Linked DNA regions of Arabidopsis thaliana. The protein of the gene in region 3 interacts with the protein of the main gene of each other region in a pairwise test. Each region holds a gene or a part of one and is shown on either strand. Other genes may lie near its edges. The genes, in order: ABF3, SRO1, DREB2C and ABF4.

Evidence for each region.
Region 1: the proteins of DREB2C (region 3) and ABF3 interact in a two-hybrid assay, tested with the Arabidopsis thaliana proteins (one study listed by BioGRID).
Region 2: the proteins of DREB2C (region 3) and SRO1 interact in a two-hybrid assay, tested with the Arabidopsis thaliana proteins (one study listed by BioGRID).
Region 4: the proteins of DREB2C (region 3) and ABF4 interact in a two-hybrid assay, tested with the Arabidopsis thaliana proteins (one study listed by BioGRID).

What each region holds. Positions count from the first base shown.
Region 1 is NC_003075.7:16,293,773-16,298,787, reverse strand, and holds ABF3 (abscisic acid responsive elements-binding factor 3), read right to left. Parts: upstream 3,455-5,015; 5' UTR 2,781-3,454; coding exon 1,893-2,780; intron 1,741-1,892; coding exon 1,447-1,740; intron 1,362-1,446; coding exon 1,290-1,361; coding exon of another isoform or gene 1,199-1,289; coding exon 1,169-1,198; intron 898-1,168; coding exon 817-897; 3' UTR 503-816; downstream 1-502. Other genes in the region: DJ1C (Class I glutamine amidotransferase-like superfamily protein), read left to right, coding at 20-235. UniProt on the Arabidopsis thaliana protein: Binds to the ABA-responsive element (ABRE). Mediates stress-responsive ABA signaling.
Region 2 is NC_003071.7:14,916,142-14,922,215, forward strand, and holds SRO1 (uncharacterized protein), read right to left. Parts: upstream 4,342-6,074; 5' UTR 4,033-4,341; intron 3,695-4,032; 5' UTR 3,592-3,694; exon of another isoform or gene 3,452-3,591; intron 3,168-3,451; 5' UTR 3,058-3,167; coding exon 1,952-3,057; intron 1,827-1,951; coding exon 1,582-1,826; coding exon of another isoform or gene 1,553-1,581; exon of another isoform or gene 1,292-1,552; coding exon 1,212-1,291; intron 1,111-1,211; coding exon 943-1,110; intron 865-942; coding exon 757-864; 3' UTR 549-756; downstream 1-548. Other genes in the region: DAD2 (Defender against death (DAD family) protein), read left to right, coding at 5,446-5,529, 5,623-5,670, 6,048-6,074. UniProt on the Arabidopsis thaliana protein: Probable inactive ADP-ribosyltransferase that functions with RCD1 to regulate oxidative stress, hormonal and developmental responses. May regulate some stress-responsive genes. Seems to play a smaller developmental role than R.
Region 3 is NC_003071.7:16,847,861-16,852,227, forward strand, and holds DREB2C (Integrase-type DNA-binding superfamily protein), read right to left. Parts: upstream 2,628-4,367; 5' UTR 2,498-2,627; coding exon of another isoform or gene 2,475-2,497; exon of another isoform or gene 1,994-2,474; 5' UTR 1,991-1,993; coding exon 1,947-1,990; exon of another isoform or gene 1,808-1,946; coding exon 805-1,807; 3' UTR 529-804; downstream 1-528. Other genes in the region: AT2G40350 (Integrase-type DNA-binding superfamily protein), read right to left, coding at 3,735-4,200. UniProt on the Arabidopsis thaliana protein: Transcriptional activator that binds specifically to the DNA sequence 5'-[AG]CCGAC-3'. Binding to the C-repeat/DRE element mediates high salinity- and abscisic acid-inducible transcription.
Region 4 is NC_003074.8:6,685,142-6,690,658, reverse strand, and holds ABF4 (ABRE binding factor 4), read right to left. Parts: upstream 3,618-5,517; 5' UTR 3,423-3,617; exon of another isoform or gene 2,774-3,422; 5' UTR 2,704-2,773; coding exon 1,585-2,703; intron 1,497-1,584; coding exon of another isoform or gene 1,452-1,496; intron 1,398-1,451; coding exon 1,326-1,397; intron 1,231-1,325; coding exon 1,201-1,230; coding exon of another isoform or gene 1,189-1,200; exon of another isoform or gene 953-1,188; coding exon 875-952; 3' UTR 536-874; downstream 1-535. Other genes in the region: AT3G19300 (Protein kinase superfamily protein), read left to right, coding at 1-417. UniProt on the Arabidopsis thaliana protein: Functions as a transcriptional activator in the ABA-inducible expression of LTI65/RD29B (AC Q04980). Binds specifically to the ABA-responsive element (ABRE) of the LTI65/RD29B (AC Q04980) gene promoter.

The DNA.
Region 1 (5,015 bases), on a different chromosome or scaffold from region 3:
AATTGGAATCCTATTTTAGGAGAAGAGAACGACTGTGTATCCTTCAGAGTCAGACGAGCCTATGAATCAACAAATGATCGAAGGAGCCGAAGTTGTTATAGATGGAAACGTGATTACAAGTTTGGGGCTCGCAACTGTTACCAAATTTTCCCTGGCTATTGTTAGCAAGCTGTTCGGACATGCTAGAGCAAGGAGTGTTTCAGAAGGGCTTGTGCATGAGTATCCAAGGCAGTAACCGTTTGAAAGCATCTTGTTCAAGAAACACAGTTAGAAGATGTCTCATTACTGATCTTAAACCGAAGTATAACGGTCCGATGGTATCAAACCACCTCAACTCCAGAGACTTTTCACAAGTATCATCTGTTCAACGTTGATGCACCTTATCCTGAAGCGGGATGCTATCTGCAAGAATTTTGCCAATTTAGTATGTGTATCTAATTTTGTACGCCCAGTTGGATTACCAGATGTTGATGCTAAACTTGATGTTTACTCTCTTCTATAATAAAGGTGTTGACTTGGGCCCAAATGAGCTAAAGAAAAAATTGCAGACAAGATACAAGATAAATTCACTCTGGTTAAGTCACAAAGATGTTCAAGACAAATGATAAAGATCCATTACATCAGGAAGATAAAACCAAAAGATTTAGGAAAATAGAACAGATATGTGTTTATCTATCTCTGTCAAATCCGCCACACTTCAAGATTTACAATCACCCACAGAACCTGCCTAAACTACGTACAAAGCTAGCTTTCTATCTTCTGAGTTGTTCTATAACTTCGGCGCTTTGTTGGGTTCCTTAGACGCCATTATAAGCTCTACCAGGGACCCGTCAATGTCCTTCGCAAGCATTGCCTTTTGCATCCCATTCCCCATGGCTGGCGCAGAGGCTCCAGAAGCTGCAACAACAAATGAGCCAACTTCCGTTAAATCCATGCTCGTCAGATTAGTCTCATGAAATATCCAAATTGGCATTGCAACATATTCACAAATCTTAAATACTTTATGCAGAGTGGGAAATCAAAAATGTGATGATATGTCTCACTTCATGGTATAGCTTACACTATTCTACTCAAAAGCTTAGAATACTGTCCAAAAGTGTAATTCATTATGAGTGAGAGTTAAAAGCCTAGCCAACAACCATAGAGGATATTCAAATCAAGACAGTACCTGATTTTTCTGCTTTTCCATGATTTCAACCTGCATGAAACATTTGGTCAGTGAATACAACCTCAAGAAAATATGAAAATCTCGAGATTCTTAATTGTGATAGGGAAGAAGCGAGACACACTTGTTTCTTCTGCAACTCTTCATTCAATTCTTTGAGTTGCGCAATTTCTGCTTCCAGTTCCATCGTATAAGCCTGTCAAGCAAGAAAGTGAAAAAGTAAATAACATGGTCACAGTTTTAAGGTTTCTTTAATCTCCAAAATTTAAACAAACACTCACTTGCTTGCGAGCGCGGGATCTTGCAGCTGATTCCCTATTCTTTATCATCCTTTTTTGCCTTCTCTCAATCACTTTCTCCAGAACTGCACCTGTTTTTCTCACTCGCCCAAACATGTAAGGAACAGGGGACAAAGATGCATCCAGGGCGCTCTTTGGAGTCAGATCAGGTGACATCTGGCTTCCAGGAGATACTGCTGCAACCGTTACTCCTGTTTTAAAATCGACAGCTTGCAGTAGATTGTTGTTCATAGGATGGTTATGAATTCCAAGTATTGAAGGCTTCACTTCCTGGCACTGCGAAAAAAGTAAAAACAAGTCATGCTCAGATAACTGAAACATACATGCATATCCAAAACCAGCTTATCTTAAAACATGAAGGCTACGTCTAATATTTTTCAGATGATTGTATTTCCTACAAAATGTAGTAGCTTAGGTTCTTTAGTCACCTGTGTTGCAGGTTGAGAACGGTTAACCACATCAACAGTGTTGGAAAATGCTATAGTGGTCTGTTTGGGAAAAGGCCTCTCCTGCGTCTGTATCAGTTGTTGCGGCTGCTGCACCATCTGTGGCTGCTGCACCATCTGTGGCTGCTGCATCTGTAGTGGCTGAGTTTGAGCAGTCAGCAGATCCTGTCTCACCGCTACTCCATTTCCTGACAAATCTTGAGGTTGGTTTGCAACAAACCCATTACTAGCTGTCCCAAGACCTCCATTACTGCCAAATCCATAGAATCCGCCATTGAAGTTAGTTACACTCTCCACCGGTTGAGGTTCTTCCCTAACCACACCAGCCCTGACCAAAAACTCCTCCAAAGTCATCTCTCCCAGCGTTTGTTGCCTCTGCGGAATTCCGCTTGTCCCACCATTAACAACACCATTTCCAATGTCATCCTCCTTCATCAGCTCCTTCCAGACATCATCAACCCTTTTCTGACTAATCGTCCGAGGCAAGGTAAGTGAACCTTGTCTCTGCAAACTCCCACCAGTGAAAAAACCACCACTTTCTCCTCCCACACCAACAGCTAACCCACCAATGTTGTTACCACCGCCGTTAATAACAGTGTTTCCACTATTACCATTGCTGATGTTGGTGTAACTGGTATTGTTTCCCATCATTGAATGACTTTCCTCTGCAGTCCAAATGTTCTTCAAGAGCTCATCCATGTTCATAGACCCAAAATCTTTCCCAATTCCACCACCCCATGAGTTCTGAAACTCATCAAAGGTTAACGAGAACACAGAGTTCTGCCTAGTCAATGGAAGACTAGTCCCCACCGTTGGCTGCTGCTCACTCACACCATCAACAAAGCTCTTGAAGTTTAATCTAGACCCCATTACTCAAGCTTTCGTACAACTAGGAGGATCAAGCTTCTGGATATTTACCTATAAGAAAACAAACAAGCAGAGAGATTATGGTTTAATTATACATACATCCATAAATTCATCAACAAACGAAGAATCTAAAAAAGCACTGATCTTTATCCAGTTTTAAAGTACCAAAATTTAAGAACCAAATCCAAAGCCGTGAGACAAAATCAGATTTTTATCAGTTCCAAAGCTAAACCCAAACAAAAGATCTAAATGAAATATAAGCACAATGAAGTCAAACAGAGCAAATGGTGAAAATGGAAAGGAATCTCCTTTTAATCAGTAAACAAATCTCCAAAACACCCAATCATATGCTTATTATTCAGCGGGAAAAAAAAATCATGATTCTCTTCGAATCAGTGAATCTGAACAAGAAAACCAATCAGTAATAGACAACAAAAATCGATTCATCAAACCAAAAAAAAAAAGAAAGAAAAAAAATGAAGCAGCTCAGTCACACAAACTAACAAAAAAAAAAAGGAAGTTTTTTGTTAATTTTCCTGACCTTCGAATTTATTTTTTTTCTTTGGAAATGGAAAATCAATAATTCCTCTTTGAGAAATAAAAGATACCTGAAAGGGGTCAGAGCGAGAGAGATGGACAAGTGTCCATGGCGTGACACTCGTCGTGATATAAAAGGGTTGGTTTCTTTTGTTTGGATGCGACTATTATTTTATTCTCGATAAGGTTATTATAGTATTATGCCAATTTGACGTCAGATCGTGCGTGAGCCGTAGAGATTGGGCAACGTGGTCCAATTAGAAACGCCGCTTTTTCTTTAAATCATTATCGATACATTTGCGTTTCCCACCAATAAAATTTCGCAAAGTGGAAGCATTTTTGGCCGTTTGATTTCCTAAACGGCGTCGTCGTTTACGAGACCAAGTACTACTACTAGTACTACATCTTGGAACAAATTATCAAAATATTCTTATAACTTTTTTTTAAGGATAGATAACCAATAAAAATTAAAATTGATGCATTCATTAGCAGTATAGTAATGAATACGAGATTCGTTGATCCGTTATTTGAGTAACAATCTAACGTAGTGTTCACTAACACTTACTTAGCTACCTAATAAAATAGGGATCACACTTTCATTTCTTGTAAGTTGATGCACCTATTTGATCGAATGGTATGAAAATTTGGTTGGAAACAAAATAACCAACGTTATTCCATTCAAGGGAGCGCATTATGGAAAAAAAATTATGATACGATAAGATTTGTAAGAAAAAATAAGAAACAAATGGAAGAAGGGAATGGGTGAACAGTCCGGAATCTTTATCACGTTTGCTGCACCTACAAAGGGATGGTCATTTGCCACGTGGCGCACTCAATGCCTGCCCTCTTAACAATATTTAAAAAAGTTGAAATGAAGCAAACATACAATAAAATTATGATCTTGTGTGTTGATCTTCACATGGTGATTGTGATCTTGTCTTCAACTTCTTTATTTTATTACACCATTATTGAGACTTCTTTACATTTGGACTCGGTACAATACAAGTGACCCTTCGTGTCTCCCATCTTTTATTTCTATTTTCAATCTTTTTATATTATTTTTTCTTTAAGAATCTACTGGATTAGGAAAGTCTACTCTGCAATACATACTAGTATTAAACAAATATGGAACCGTGATTTTGTTTAATGTTATCATATAGAATTCACATGGGACTCGACGACTCTTTTGAGACGTGCTCTTTCCCGAATTAGATTTAATTAATTGAAGTTACTTCTTTAAGGTCGTGTAGAAACAAAATGTATAAATTATAACCACCTTTCAAGAATCCAAAACTCAAAACCAACGAAAGTACGAAACTATAACAACCGGAAGAAACAACACACAACCGAAATGCTAAAACGTTGTTAACAAAAACAAGTTTAATGTGTAACTTTTTTTCAGCTAGGCTAAAATCCTAGAAGGTTAAAAGATATATAACCTTTTTTTAACAAAAAAGAGAGAGTTTAATATGTAAGTTGCAACAACAGGGTAAGTTTGAAGAAATTTACTTTTTCTTAATTCCATGGTAAGATAATAACAAAATTACAAAATAATTCTTACAATAACAAAATTAGATCAAAAACCTAAACCACAATAAAGAAAAAGAATGAAACCTTAGTGTCATGCCCATATATATTTATTACTTTCTATGTGTCTAGAAGACCTAAAGTTGTTAAGAGTAGTTGAACTCTTAGAAAGAG
Region 2 (6,074 bases), 1.9 Mb from region 3:
GTGGTGTTCTATTAACAGATTCTCTGCATATGGTTTTAGCCTTCAAGCTTATATCGTCTATGGTGTTCTATTTAGAAAAATTAGGGATTTTACATCTTCTAACTGGTTAAAATGTCGTGGGTTAAGAGGTAAGGGTCAAATCCGTTTTAGTTTAAGATAAACCTAGGATTGATTTGGTTTGATAAGCTAATTATAACTCATGGTTAAACTTTCTAGTCGTGGATTAGGTATTGACCAGCTAAATTGAATCATGTATTAACCAGCTAGGTTTAGAAAATGGTTTATCCTATTCCTCCTAGTCATTTCTTCGTGCAAACCCTAAAATCACAGAATTCTGTTGTTGGTTTCGAAGAGTTTTCGCCTGAACACAAGAGGCGATCGCTTTGCCACCTTGTGCATCGGCCAAGGCTCACGTATGGCGTGCGCATTATAGATGTCGCCTCGCCTCCACGTCTTGTTGCCCTATTCTTAGAGCATCGGTGCGCTATGCGCCATGGCACGCCATTAGCGCGCTTTTTAAAACTAAGGCTGTTGAATAACTTCCAGCTGATGAATTAAACCTCACAAAGAACCAAGGCTGTTGATCAATAAAAGACTCTTTGATTCCAAGTAAAGAAAAACAGGATAATGGAGACTAGTTTCACCAAAAGAGTAAATATAACAGTACTACTACTAAGTTTCTAAAGATCAAGTCACGTTTGTCGTAATCCAAACTATTAAGGTTTCACGACAGCAAAGAGAAGTCGACACATTAATCTAACCCAAACTCCTTTGAAGGCCTGTTATTGTAGATATCAGCAGATCATCATCTCCTACAATCATACTCAGCGTCTTATAAAATTCCTTTCTCGACACCTTCTTCTCCTGCAAGAGCACACCGATTATGTTAATACAATATGATAACCTTGACTATTGGTAAAAGACATGGTTTATATTATTTACCCTGAGTTCCTGGTAACCAGCAATTATCAAATCCATGTCTTTACGAGCAATTTTGCTCGAGATTGCTTTGAACAGCAGAGGGAAAGGCATTATAGGAGATCTGGGCCTTCTACTGCTGGAGCTATTCTTTTCGCTCCCTGAACCTCCATTTGATACCCTTCCTGGCTCCTGCTTCATACAAACAAGCAACATTACTCGTTTGTGTCCATATCAAATATTAACAATGACTGCTTGAAAATGAGAATCTGATCAGGTACAATTCAACTTACATTTGAGGGAGAACCTTTGGGTCCTTCCAAGGTGAGTCCCGAACTCTCGTGCCTACTCTGAGTAGTAGGAAGAATATTCCCTGCACAAACAAAACATGTCATCCCGTTTCGAATACTACAGAAAACAAATGTGATCATCGAAATACCCATATATATTAGCCATGGATATCTCACTGGACCCTTGGGATGATGAAGTATGTTTACCACCCCCAGAGGTCACAAGGTGATGTGGATCCTTTTCTAACTTATAGAGGAAGATTTCAGGATCCAAATAGCTGATCTTCAGTAAGATCTATATGCTGTCTCCCATTCAATGCGTCATCAGTTGATTTTTATGGAAATTACAGGAGAAATAACAAATGGTAATCACCTTCAGCATTGGGGATAGACAGCTTGAAGCTAACTACAAATTCTGGGTAAATGTGAGTGTTCATATTCATGTTCCAGATAAGGTAATGCTTTGGACTCTCAACATCATCAACCCCATTATCATACTCTTCTCCACCAGTAAAGTACTGCGTGTTATCACCACGAAGAGGCTCCATATTCCCCATTATTACGCGGCACAAAACCATGTGCCGCACACCATTATCGTCAATATCACAGTATCTAGCACTGTAAACAATATCTTTCACATGTGCTTAGATAAAACCATAAAACAAATGAACTATAAAGTGAAACAAAAATAGCATAAGGCAGGCTAAATGAGAGAGGAACTGGCATAGAGGGCGAATAAAAACCTGAAATAAGGGCAGTTTGCAGCGTGAACCCCAACACCATACATAGACTTTTTAATGAATGCTCCACCCACTCCAAGTCCATGCATCATCACGGCAGATAACACTTCCTTCTTCGCAGGAACCCATGCATATCTAATGTTTGCATCTCCTCGGTGTTTCTTAGTGATGTCAGCTTGCTTCTGGAAAAGAGATAGACGAGCCTTTGCAATCTCGCTTGAAAACTGATACACATCAAGCGACTCTACATGCCCTAGAGTGGCAGCACCCAAAGCAAACATTTGTTTGACAGCATCTTTATCAAGCTCCTCCTCAGCAGGCTTGACACCAGAGAACCGATCAGTTTCTGTTTTGTCCCATTTCTCAACAGCATCATCAAGCTCACGGCTGCAGCTATCCTCTGATGCCTCGTCATTTGGCCCATTTGAGGATCTCTGAACAGCTTGAAAATCATCCATATTGTCACCAGACTCGTCAGTGACCACATTCAAATTCAGCCTCGGTAACTCCCCACTATTTACATCAATTTCAATGTGCAGCTTGATCTCACGTTGATCATGTTGTTCCGGATCTTCCCCACGGATATGATGGCAGCCGTCCCTTTCGAGGGTGTCAAAAGTTTCAGGGAAAAAGCATTTGCCAGCAATATCAATCCAAGCAAGCTGGGTTTTTACACCTGTTTCCAAGTCTAGTCGATACATGTGCAAGAAATCCAGGAGAAAATGGCGACCGCACCAATTGAACTCAATTGTAGCTCTCTTTGCTTCAAGATCATTCCTGATGTCGCATAGAATATGATCAGGCAAATCAATCCATTCACCATTCTCATGGAACATTACACGTTTTGGCACTCCTGTCTTCTTATAATAAGAGAAGTATCTGACCAAAGACTTCTCAACATGATTCTCAGAAACAATAACTTTGTTTTCACCATCCAAATTTCTCCTTTTCTCAAGCTTCTGGGTGGAACTGTTGGGTGAAAGCACCCATTGCAGCTTTGCATATGACCTTCCAGAATCATAAGGAGTATAGTTCCCTGGATGCTTTCTCTTCTTCCCAAGACCATCTTTATAACTACTATCCGATACCTTGACGATTTTGGCTTCCATTTTTCTCTACTAACAACACTAAACCTATAACCTTGAATATAAAGTCAACTAACACACCGAACTGTCTAGCAGTACTAAGGATGGGAACTCACCAACAGCTTCGAAAAAAACTGCAAGAAGAAAGGTGTGCATCAGATATGAAAAAAGTGCAGTGACTGTATATAAAATAAAAATGAAAAGACTCTCATCATGCAATAACCTACTTAACAAAAAGACACTGCTATAAACACCAACAGAAAGCAACTATATGAACAGTTATTCATGAGTTTTCCTACAAAGCATCATGTTTCAATTGAAACAACACTGTCGAATCGATACCAGTAAAATCCCTTTACAAATCATAGGAAAAACAATATAAGAAAGATTACAAGAAAGGAAAGAAGTGACAACTAACCTACACAAGGATGAAAAAAGAGGTTCAGCTACTCAGAAGGCAAGATCTTATAACAAACATGACAGAACAAAGAAGCAAAACTGCAGATACAAATCCGGACTAGATAGAACGGTAAACTCATCGGAAAGCTTGAGACTTACCAGGCTGTAGCACTTGTTGATAAATACATTAGTATTCATGTTGGCAAAAAGTAATCAGAGAAGAAACGTCACCGTATTTCTTCGATGTTCACAAATGTCAACTCTGTAAGACAAGCCAAAAAATTTAACCTTCAAAGACAGAAACAGACCAACAAATAACAACAGGCTATCAAAGCTGTCGAGACAAGCTCTCTTCTGTTTAGGTGAATACATGAATCATAACAACAGAAGCTTAGACGAGACATTTTCACTCTTAACAAATTATGTAATAGCAATCTTTTTCAGCTTTTCAGCGAAACCCCTAATAAAATTATGCAAATAAACCATCAATTGACACCAAAACATCTCAAGAACAACACAATTCACAACAATTTCGACTAAATGTAACACACCAATTCACAGAATCATAGATTATATCAATAAAGACAAATTTAAACTAACCTTATGAACTCTTGAGATTGGACGCAAGGCAAGAGCAATATAAGAGAAACTGTAAAAGGGGAGAGAGAAGCGAGAGAAAATTGCTACAGCAACGGAAACCCTAAACCGGCGACGACGAAGAAGAAGAAATCGTTTGGAAAAAGACGAGCCATTTATATATATTCTCTCGTCGGCGAAAAAATCTAAGTCGGCGGTCTACTCTTGGACACAAAGCCAATCGTTTAGGCAAAGAACAAAGTTACACATTTTTTTTTTTTACGTCAAAGCCCAATTCTAACTGGACCGTCACCTATCAATTCTGACCCGGTCAAACACGGCCAATTTCACTATCAAGTATAAACAAGTAAATAAATGTGTTGTAAACTACTCTATTATAGTTACATAGACATTTTTTCAGTTTTAAACTAGTTTTGTCAGATATCGCTCCAATAATATAAATTTATAAAATTGTTATCATAAAAAATAAATTTTCAATTTTGTCAAGATTGTGGTTTTAATACTTCAGACCAGAAAAAAATTTAATTTTTGTTTTAGTTTGAGTGGTTAGGACATATGTTACGGAATTTAGAAGAAAACTTATTTTGTTCGGTTACGTTAAATTTGAAAATAAACTCATCTCTTACGTATGCATTCAATTATTATATTATATACATCTTTTATCTAAACTTTCCTTACGCTGTACAAGGAAATTACAAACGTTCTCTTTGAATTTGTTAAAGTTGTGTTTATTCTAAAAATTTCAGTGTATCTCCGATTATTCCGTTTTTAATTGTTACATCCACTCTGCCTGCCTTATTGAATGATTAATCTCTTGAAGAAATCAGTTATCTAATTACCTTCCATCTAATCCGATTATTTCGTACCTAATTTTGTATATCTTGATTATTTAAGATTTTAAATATAAAACAACTTCTTTTTTATTCAAACATGTACATTAAGAGTATGATAAATTATAGCAACTTATGTACAAAATTTTAACTAAAAACATAAAATGTTGTCTTAAAAATATATTTTTATGTTTACTACCATTTTCAAAACAATATTAGATTAAAATGTTTTAAAAACATTATAATAACCCTAAATATTTATTTCCGATTTTTAAATTAATCGCCAAATTCATATTGAGCCCTCGAGTAACGTCTAAAGATTTTTCGAACAAGCTCGAGTGGTAGTCCATTTACAAACTGTGGAAAACATAATTTAGAAAATATCTCATAACAAAACGGCGACGTTTCGAAGTTCAGACTTAAAAAGGCTTGGGCCCAAAGGCCCCAAACAATGACAGCCCGTTTTAATCAGCAAATCCTGAAACAACGTCATTTCAGCGAGAGCACCAGACTCGTGAAGAAGAGAAAAAGAAGAAGCAGGAGAAAAGTTTGCTTGCTGTGCCTGTGTTGGTCAGTCTTTGAAGAAATGGTGAAATCGACTAGTAAGGATGCTCAGGATCTCTTCCATTCTCTTCACTCTGCTTATACCGCTACACCAACGAATCTCAAGGTCCACCATTATCATTTTGTTCTGATCTTTTATGAATCATCATTGAAATTGAAAAATCCGCTGAATGTTCTTGTTTGAACTCTGTTTTTGTAGATCATCGACCTTTATGTTTGTTTCGCGGTCTTCACAGCTTTGATTCAGGTACTCTAATCTCCTTTATTGCTTCGACTGTGCCTCTCGATCCGTGCCTTTTCGTTTCGTTTATGTATATGGGGATTTCAAATGTATGAGTTTTTATGTTCATATGTATTGATATGTGTATTTTCAAATAGAAAGACACTCAAATTTGATATACTTGATTTGCAATTTTTGTGTTCATTTGTATAGCATCATCCATTACTTTGTCGTTGAAATGTTTGATCTGTGTTTTTTTGAAGGACTATATCAAAGAAACTCTTGTTGCTTAATTCTTGACTCATGTTAAATTCTACAGAATTTCTTGATAAACAGTGTTGAATTCTCTGTGTATTAAAGAACCTGGTTACTTAGTTTTAGTGTGTTTAATTTCTGTGATTGAGCAGGTTGCTTACATGGCTCTTGTTGGA
Region 3 (4,367 bases):
CATCTCATTCTTGCGGAGAAGAGGACACATTGTCAAAGGGAACTTGTGGAGGTGCAATACCCACCAATTCATTGGATTTAATTAATTAACAGTTTGCCAACTTGATTTCTTCATTTTTCTAAAGGCTTAGAAGATCTTCAAGATTCGAGCAAGAAAAACGATTTTGGAGACCAGAATGGAATAGTTAAAGCCTTTTAAATAATATACAACTATGTCCCATTTGCACTTTCAAATACCCAATTTGCCTTTTGTAGAAAATACAGATAGATAACTCTCTAATGATAACTTTATTATTCATACCTCATTGCTTATGTAATCTCAGACAACCTGAGGAAAGTCTGCAGACCAAAAAACTCCACTACTGGATATTTCCATTAAACTAAGCCAAGTTTCTTGAATAATCAAAACTTGCCAAGTCAATAAAACCACTACGCAACATCGCATTATTCCATCTCCATTCTTAAGGATGAAAATTAGATGTGAGAGTATCCAAAGTTCAAAGATCAAAACTTTATAGCTTATATGCATCCGAAGTTCAAAACTTTGATATGTACCGAATGTTATAAACTTTTTCTAAACCCAACGTTTGAACTTCTTCATATGTCATATGTATTCACAAGAAAAAGAAAGAAGGAATCATATTTGAACTTGTCCTACATTACCTAACTACATGTACTACGTCTCACAACCATTAATATCAGAAAGTATCAGTAGCTTCAAAGAAGGGCAGCTTCTAGCTAGTAACAGCTACACCGTCTCGGAGCAGAATCACAAACTTAGGCCAGTCAAACGAAATTTGAAATCTTATGTAGATCCATGAACATCTTTGTCTCCTCCAAAATCCAAGTCCTGTATGTCAAGATCATTGAACCTGCGATGGTCTAAATCAATACCATAGTTCTCCATATCACTGGGCTGCACATAAGGACATCCATAATCAACTCCTGGTTGAGCAATCTCCATAGGGTTGAGGCTCCCGAGCAAGTTAGAATTTGGAAACTGCGTTTGGTAACTGAAATTTGGGTGTCTATCCACTTGATACTGCATTGTCTCTTGACCAGACACATTGTTGTCGTTTAATATACCCAATAGCTCATTAATATCAAACGTTTCATCCACACCAAACTCCAATGGTTCTTGTTCATTGCCATTTCCCATCAACCAAGCATCCAAAGTCTCCCTTTTCGAGTCCTGTCCAATTCCAAAACCAACAGCCAAGTTATGTTCTTCCCTCACTTCCTCTTTTCCTTTCAGCTCCTCTTTAATACACTGAGAACTATCTAAGAGAACATATTCATCGCTACAATCCTCTAGTTTCACCTGACCAAAACCTGAACTTGCATTTGTATCCTCACGTGCACAAACTTCAGATTCATCAGAAAATGCAGTAACCGAGCCTGACACAGTGGCAGTGGCAGCAGTCGAAGAAGAGCGATTTGTGATCTCGGGAAGATTGAGTCTGGCAGACTGACCATATATAGCTTTGGCCGCCTCGTCATAAGCCAATGCAGCTTCATATGAACTGGAGAAAGTACCGAGCCACAACCTAGCACCTCCGTCTGGCTCACGGATCTCAGCAACCCATTTACCCCATCTCCTCTGTCTAACTCCTCTATAGTCACAAATCCCGTTTTCAGGTCCACCTTTACCTTTCATACAACCCTTCCTCGAACCTTTTGGAGGAGGCTTTCGGATTGATTTTGGACCACCACCATCGATACAAGATTCTGCCTCAATCTGCTCATTGTACTCTCTCCATTGCCTTAGAATCTCAGCTACATCTCGTGTTCCACGAGACTTCCTTTTCCTGGTAGAATCAAAGGGGATAGAAGCAAGATTAGCAACATGCTCGAGAACTCCAATTTTCTCTCTTCACAAAATTTCAAGCAACAGGTTCAACTATACTTCGGATCAAAGCACCTTTCAAAGAAACAATTTTTAACCACCTGAACGTAATTACACCGAAGTAGCTACAAGAAGAAGTTTTCATAATCTGCAGCATCACAGCGAGCAAGAAAGAAACTCCATCACGAACAGATTAAGAAACTAGAACAGAGCAAACTCAGAAACAGAGAATCACCTAAAGATTCAACATAGAATCCATAATCTAACTTCTGTATCAGGAAAGGTACCACCTTTAACGATTATTTTAGCTAAAAATCCTCTAATTTCCAAGTCTCTTAACCACACACGAACTAGAATCCACAAATCGCACAGAACTCAATCCAAAAGAGACAAATTGTGCCCCAAATTAACAAATTTCAGTCAACAAAAAACCCCAAAAACCCTAAAATTGAAAAACCTTTCAGCTTCCACCTATTACACAAACAAAGGAACTTGGAGGATATACACACAAAACAACAAAAATCGATAAAAAGAAAATCTTAAACCCTAACAATGAACAATCACATTTAGCAAACATACAGAAGAGAGGAAAAAAAACGGAGAAAAATCGAAAAATGTAACAAACAAACCTGTCAACAATCTCCGACGGCATGTAAGAAAGCACTCGAACAAAGTAGCAGCTGAAGAAGAAGAACACAAAGGATTCAATGTAATAATAGTAGTAGTAGTAGTAGCAAAGACGATAGCTTTTGTTTTCTCGTTAGCAGAGAAGAGAAAGGTTTGGGATTGTGAAAGGAGAAGCCTTTATATATAGACAAGTCTTAATTAGATATTTCAGATATTTAGGTGATGACGTGGCGTTCGAACTTACCAGATTCTGATTTGCGGCTGGATCCAGAGTCCTTTCCTTTTTGCTTTGGGCCTAAGTTATTTCTGATTATGCTTTTTGACTATTTTACCCTCAAAGCTTCTTTGTAATTTCCGCTTATGATCCCTTTTACTATAGCTGAATACGTCATTTACTCATTTTCGTTGACTAGTCAAAAATCAAGTCTTCTTCCACACGAAGCTATGGGCTAAGTATGGATTATTGTTTTATATTTTTTGTAAACTTTATTATTGATATGAATAAATTTAGAGAAAAATATTAATGTTTTATATGTGTTTTGGTTTCGTGGATTACCCTTAAGAGCCTATTATGCTTCTTTTCGCGAGTATATAACACATTGTGTTAGACAAGTTCAAATTGTGAATGAGACTATGAGTGAATTTGTCGTTAAATAAAGGAGACCAGCCTTCGTGGAGAATTTCTATTTTTCCTACGAAGTGACAATCCATTTTCTCTTTGTCTAGTCAAGGATCCATCATTCATTGTAATATGAACGTTAAGAAACTGTCACATACATATGGAATCAAATCCATATTTGGATTTAAGCCGACTAGTAACGCCCCAACTTAACCAATGCAGTTATTGGACTTAACATTTTGGAAATGCGAGAAGTTAGAGATCTCAACAAATAAAGGCGATCATTACAAAACTTAAACCTAGAAAGAGGATAATTTTGGAGTGATGGTGACGTAGAGGATGATCGCCAGTTTCTTATCATTTCAAATGCTTGATAGAATACATCTCCTCATAGATTGAGAGATAGAGAATATAATATTTTGTAGTGGTGGTGATGAGGAGGAGGAGGATTGAGTGTTATGAGAGTTTCAGACCACTCTTGGTGACAATCTAAAGATCTTCCTTTGTTTACTTTCTTGCATTTCAATAAAGCTCCATATGAGCTATCTCATTTTCAATCTACAACTTAAGACCTCACAATAGTCAACTACGATTAACAATACACTAGAACTATCTAGGAGAACATATTCATCAATACAATCCTCTAGTCTGACCTGACCAAAACCAGATCTTGCATTTGTATCCTCACGTGCACAAACTTCAGATTCATCAGAAAATGCAGTAACCGAGCCTGACACAGTGGCAGCAGTGGAAGATTGAGTCGGGCAGACTGACCGTAAATAGCTTTGGAAGCCTCATCATAAGCCAATGCAGCTTCATATGAACTAGAGAAAGTACCGAGCCATAACTTAGCACCTCGGCCTGGCTCACGGATCTCAGCAACCCATTTACCCCATGTCCTCTGTCTAACTCCTGTATAGTCACAAATCCCATTTTCAGGTCCACCTTTACCTTTCATACAACCCTTCCTCGAACGTTTTGGAGGAGCCTTTCGGATTGGTTTTGAACCACCACCATCGATGCAAGAATCTGCCTCGGTCTGCTCATTGTACTCTCTCCATTTCCTTAGAATCTCAGCTACATCTCGTGTTCCACGAGACTTCCGTTTCCTGGGCATAGAAGCAAGATTAGCAACATGCTCGTGAACTATTGGGCACAGAAGCAAGTCCCATTTTTTCTCTTAACAAGATTTAAAGCAACATGTTCAACTATACTTGGGATCAAAGCACCTTCAAAGAAACAATTTTTAAGCATCACAGAATCTACCAACACCGAA
Region 4 (5,517 bases), on a different chromosome or scaffold from region 3:
AAAAGAGCGGTTGATGAAGGTAGGAACCTGGTAGAACTGTCTCAGCCTTTGCTGGTATCAGAATCAAGACGCATAGATCTGGTGGATCCGAGAATCAAAGACTGCATAGATGGAGAACAGCTTGAAACAGTAGTGGCAGTTGTAAGATGGTGCACAGAGAAAGAAGGCGTGGCTAGGCCATCAATCAAGCAAGTTCTGAGGCTGTTGTACGAAAGCTGTGATCCGTTGCATCTCGGGCTTGCAATGGCAGTTGAAGAGAACAAAGGACGGTCACTGAGAGGTGACTCAGGGTTCCAAAGTGGAGACATCCGTGGCTTGGCTTCTTCCTCTAGTACTACTTCAAGGTCGCATTGTAGCCGGAGTTTTCTGCTTGAGACTGGCTCCCCTCACTCTCCACCAAATGGTCTCTCTTTTTGAGTGAGCAGAGACAAATTAGTCACATTTTTTCTAGAAATTTGTCACTTAGGATCATCCTAACTGTTTTCTAATTGCAGTTTTGAAAGATGACATATGTTTTCCAACCAGAGTCAAGAATGATTTCGTTGCCACTCTTAAGTAATAATGGCTAAACCCAAGTTAATGACACAAGAGAACCAAATCCGGAATACAAAGTCAGACATATATATAAACAACTATGTCTTTTAGAAACCCTAACAACCAGAAAGCACAATAAGTCAATAACAGAGGATAATCTAAACCTAAACTAACAAAGGTCAGGGCACAAAATGTCATTTATTCATAATGAAAACTCTCTCCTACTCTGTAACCTAGATCTTTCACTCAATTTCTCTTAATCTCCTGTACAGGTAGCACTATCCTATTACATTAATCCCAAGCTAGGAGTCTGGTTCATCCGTTCTTGTTGCTTCATCCTTCACCATGGTCCGGTTAATGTCCTTCTCAAGCATTGCCTTTTGCTGCCCCACGGTCGCTTCGACGTTTCTTTCAGCTGCTAATTTTGAAAAGAATACTAGTGAACAACACAATCAAAAAGGCTATTCAAAACGAAGCAAGACCACGAAATGTTCGAAAGCTATCTCAGGTTTGAGCTTCAGTTGGGGACATACTTGATAAGGACCAACATACACTATCAGAGCTACAACTTAAGTTTAGTCTTTTGCTGCTGATGTTGGTCCTAATCAAGTATGGTCAAGGGTTTCAGAATGAACTCAATGAAAAGAAAAGTTCTTAAACAATTACCTCATTCTTCTGCATTTCCACCATTTCAGCCTGCAATACAGGGGAAGCTAGGATCAGAGCCAAGTTCTAAAAGTCTGATAGGGGAAAACAGAAAACACACAGAGAGGTTGTAAACAGAAAGAAACCTGTTTTTTCTGCAGTTCTTGATTCGTTTTCTTGAGCTTTTCAATTTCGGCTTCCAGTTCCAATGTATAAGCCTGTAATTAGTGGATAGTTAAAAAACATGGAAGATAAAGCATCTTTCATAATACAAGAAGTGGTTCGGGATAGAAGATATCTTTGCTGGTTTTATGTTTCTGTTTAATGCAGTCTTGCAAAATATAAGACCATAATAGTCAAACCAAACAAAAGGGACTAGATAAGTTTAGTTAGATTTATATTCACCTGCTTTCGAGCTCTTGATCTAGCAGCTGATTCCCGATTCTTGATCATTCTCCTTTGCCTCCTCTCGATAACCTTCTCTAGACCTGTATTGCTTCTTCGTCCTCGATTAAGCACATACGGAACTGGTGATAAAGAATTATTTTCTGCGCTGCTTGTTCCTGGAGAAGTTGCTGCAACAGTGACCCCGGTTCCTCCGTAACTAGCTAATCCATTATTATTGTTGATAGAATTATTTGCAGCCCCAGCAAAACCCTTGTTGGTTATATTCACAGGCGCAGAAAATGCTACGTTTGCTTGTTTAGGAAAAATGGTTTGAGGCAGCCGCTGCTGTGGATGAGGCTGATTCAGCTGCTGCATCTGCTGTTGTTGCTGCTGAAGCAACTGCTGTTGTTGTTGTTGCTGCTGCATTGTTCCACCCATTTTGAGCCCTAAACCAGGTGGCTGATTCAAGATCATAGAATCATTAGTACCATTGAATGTTATGCTGTTTTGATTTGGCTGACCAAATCCAAAACCTAAGCCGCCAGCAGCAGTGCTGTTACCATAAAACCCATTGTTATTGTTTCCGTTGACCTGACCCATCTGTTGAACACAGTTATCTTCTCTTACAACCCCAGCACGGAACAGAAATTCTTCAAGTGTCATTTCCCCTAAAGTCTGTTGCCTTCCAGGAGGCACATTCGACTCACCACCGCCTCCGCTGCTACCTTCCATATTACCATCCTTGGTGATCAAACATTTCCACACCTCATCAACAGTCTTCTGACTAATTGTTCTAGGCAACGTCAACGAACCTTGCCTCTGGAGATTCCCACCTGGGGGTGGGATACCAGCACCAGGTTGCGCTACCGCTGTAGCAGCTGGCGCAGAAGTCATGGCCATGGCCTGAGCTTCCTCAGCAGTCCATATGCTCTTCAGGAGTTCATCCATGTTCATCGACCCGAAATCTTTTCCCGGTCCACCTAGTGTGTTCTGTAACTCATCAAAGGTAAGGGAGTAGACCGAGGACTGCCTAGCCAAGGGCATGACACTACCCGTTGGCTTCATCTGGTTACTACTCCCTTCCCCTCCAGGATGACCACCACCTCCTAAGTTGTTGAAATTGATGTGAGTTCCCATAATCCTTGTATACACTCCTTCTACTTCTTTTTCAATGAAAACAAAGCATCCAAGCCCTAAAACCCTTGTTCTAAAATCAAAGTAAAGCAGTTAGAGTGTATATTACATAATGCTAAGAATCCATGAAAAAGAGAACTTCCGAGGAAAATAAAAAGGAGTGAACTATGTGTCACTAATGCATGTTCACATCCATATAAGAGAAAGAATACTAAAGTGAAACTGGACAAACCACATAAATGCGTGCGAACAAATGTAAAAGCACAGTAAAGTCAATCAATAAAGGTCAGATCTTTGGATAATGTTTATAAAAAAACGTAATTTGATGACTTTTTTTGATGGAAAACGAATTCACACCAGATACAGAGTTTACTCATAAAACCAAAAACGAGAAAATCAGCAAAACCCAACAAGCATGAGAAGGATCTATTCCAGATTCCACAACCCATTTCTCTTAAAAAAAACCCGATCGAATCAAATAGACAAAACCCTAATAGCAACAAGAATCAAATCGATAAATTTATAACAAATATCTCGTAAAAATTCTCTCTTTAACTCTAATTTGATAACCAAAAGTTACTTCAGTTACAACATGTACATCATCATGATTCATAAACGAAACAGAGGAAAGACAACAAAAAAATTGGATGATCCGACAAAGACAGATCCAGAAGTCAGAAAACGGATAATAAAAGAGAAAGGAGCTCGAAAATATGTTTTACCAAATTAATTTCTTCAAAACAAGATTCGTGACTGCGAAAACTCCAGAGAAGCTACAGGGAGAGACGACAAGTGTGTTGCTGCCGCCTCGACACGAGCAGCCATTTTAAGGCCCTGAAACCTTTTTTTTTGTTCTTCAGATATTATTTTTTTGTGAATAATTATCTGTTAACAGTATTAATTTAAAAAGAAACGTGGACGAATGAGAAAAAAGAGTTTAATGTTTTAAGTGCTTGTAAAGACTTACATCCAATTAAGAATGCGACGTGGTAAAACATTGGCCGTTTGTTTCCGACAGTGAAGATTCGAGTGGTTGGAGATCGTGCTTGGAATTGTTTTCTCATTGGAGTTAAATCATAATAATGATTATTCTTTGTTTTTAGGTCAATTTTTTAAAAATATATTACTTCTTATGTTCTTTTAGTTTTCTTATTTTAGATGTATATCAAAAATTCAAATTGATCTTCAAATTGACATATGCCACAATTGTAATCTTCAACAATATTGTGATATATTATAAAATCTTTAATTTGTAAAAAAAAAGAAATCAAAATCTAGATTTGTCTCTTTCCAAAATGGTTGACGATAAGGATGATTCATTTTTCAACATCCAAACCAATTTCATACATAGATAAGACTAAATATAATTATATACATGTCCATATTAGCCAAGAAATACTACCTATATAAAAAAAAATCTTTATTGGTAACTTTTTTTTTTCAATTATGACATAGATCATAGATATTTGTTTGTCATTTTTACAGTTCAAAAGCCTTTTAATCATTTGATATCATCAGTATTGTTTAGACACTAAATAGATTGAATATATAACAAAAACTATAAACTAGATGTTATAAAAAAAAAGTAGGAAAAAAAGCAAATAAGCAAACATTGTAATAATACCAAATGAGGAATGAAACCAAATTTCTGTATTTGGAAGTAATGATCTTAGACTCCACGCGACAGTGTTCTTTACTCCTACCAAAAAAAAAGAAAAAACTATAAACTATGAATAAAATATGACCAAAACATGTAGTTAATTGGGTTGTGCTATTTTTATCATTATGTTATCACCCGAAATTTGAATATATGTTATGGTTGTGTGACTTTTATGTTAAAAGTGTTCCCTCATCAGATAGAAGAAGTGGTGGTGCTTGCTTTCTTTTTGGGAGCCCATTTTGGTTGCAAGCCAATAAGAATATCACACCGCTCTTCGAAACAAAACAATAAAGAACACAGTCGCGTGGAGTCTAAGATCATTACTTCCAAATACAGAAATATGTTTTCATTCCTCTTTTGGTATTATTGCAATGTTTGCTTATTTGCTTTTTGTTTTTCTATTTTATATTCAAAGAAATATCCACTTTTGCCACGTTAGGCCGACGTATAGAGTGAGCATAAAACCATAATAGATCCCATATATGACTATGAGTTTATGTAATCATCACTTATATGTATATTTATACACGTACACACGATTGTCATTTAGGTTTAATTTCAACCTTGATGCTACAGAGTTCGACCAAGATTCAAGGGACGACTATGGAGATGTAGTTGTATTTGCTAATTCATAATTAGGCTTTGTTTCCTTTTTATCAAAAAAAAACTAATCTAAAAAGACTCGAGTGATGTGAGAAGTAGAGTTCATCTCCATCAACGCTTGACCTCTTTTTACAAATCCATACAAATCACCAAGACTATAGTAAACTATAAATATCAATGGAGCAATATTTTTTTAGCAAAAAGTAAGATTCAAACATAAAATAGAGAATAGAAAAAATGTTTAATAATTGTCCTAATTAACTAATAGATTTGTAGTCATTCTATTTTTTTATGATTGAGATCTTAGTTTGTATTAATATTTCAGATCCCAAATGATCGCATGTGGTTGTGCTTGTATATATTCAATGATTGAAGGGTTGGTGAGGGCATTTGTGACTAGGGCCTCTAGCCACAAAATATAATCAAGAAAATGTGTTAAAAAAGGACGAATCGTTGAAGCATCAACATTTGTTTTGTTAAGATTATTTGTTGTTGTTTTTATCTATAATTATTTTTTCTTGTTACAGGGTATTCTACTAAAATGCAAAGAGATT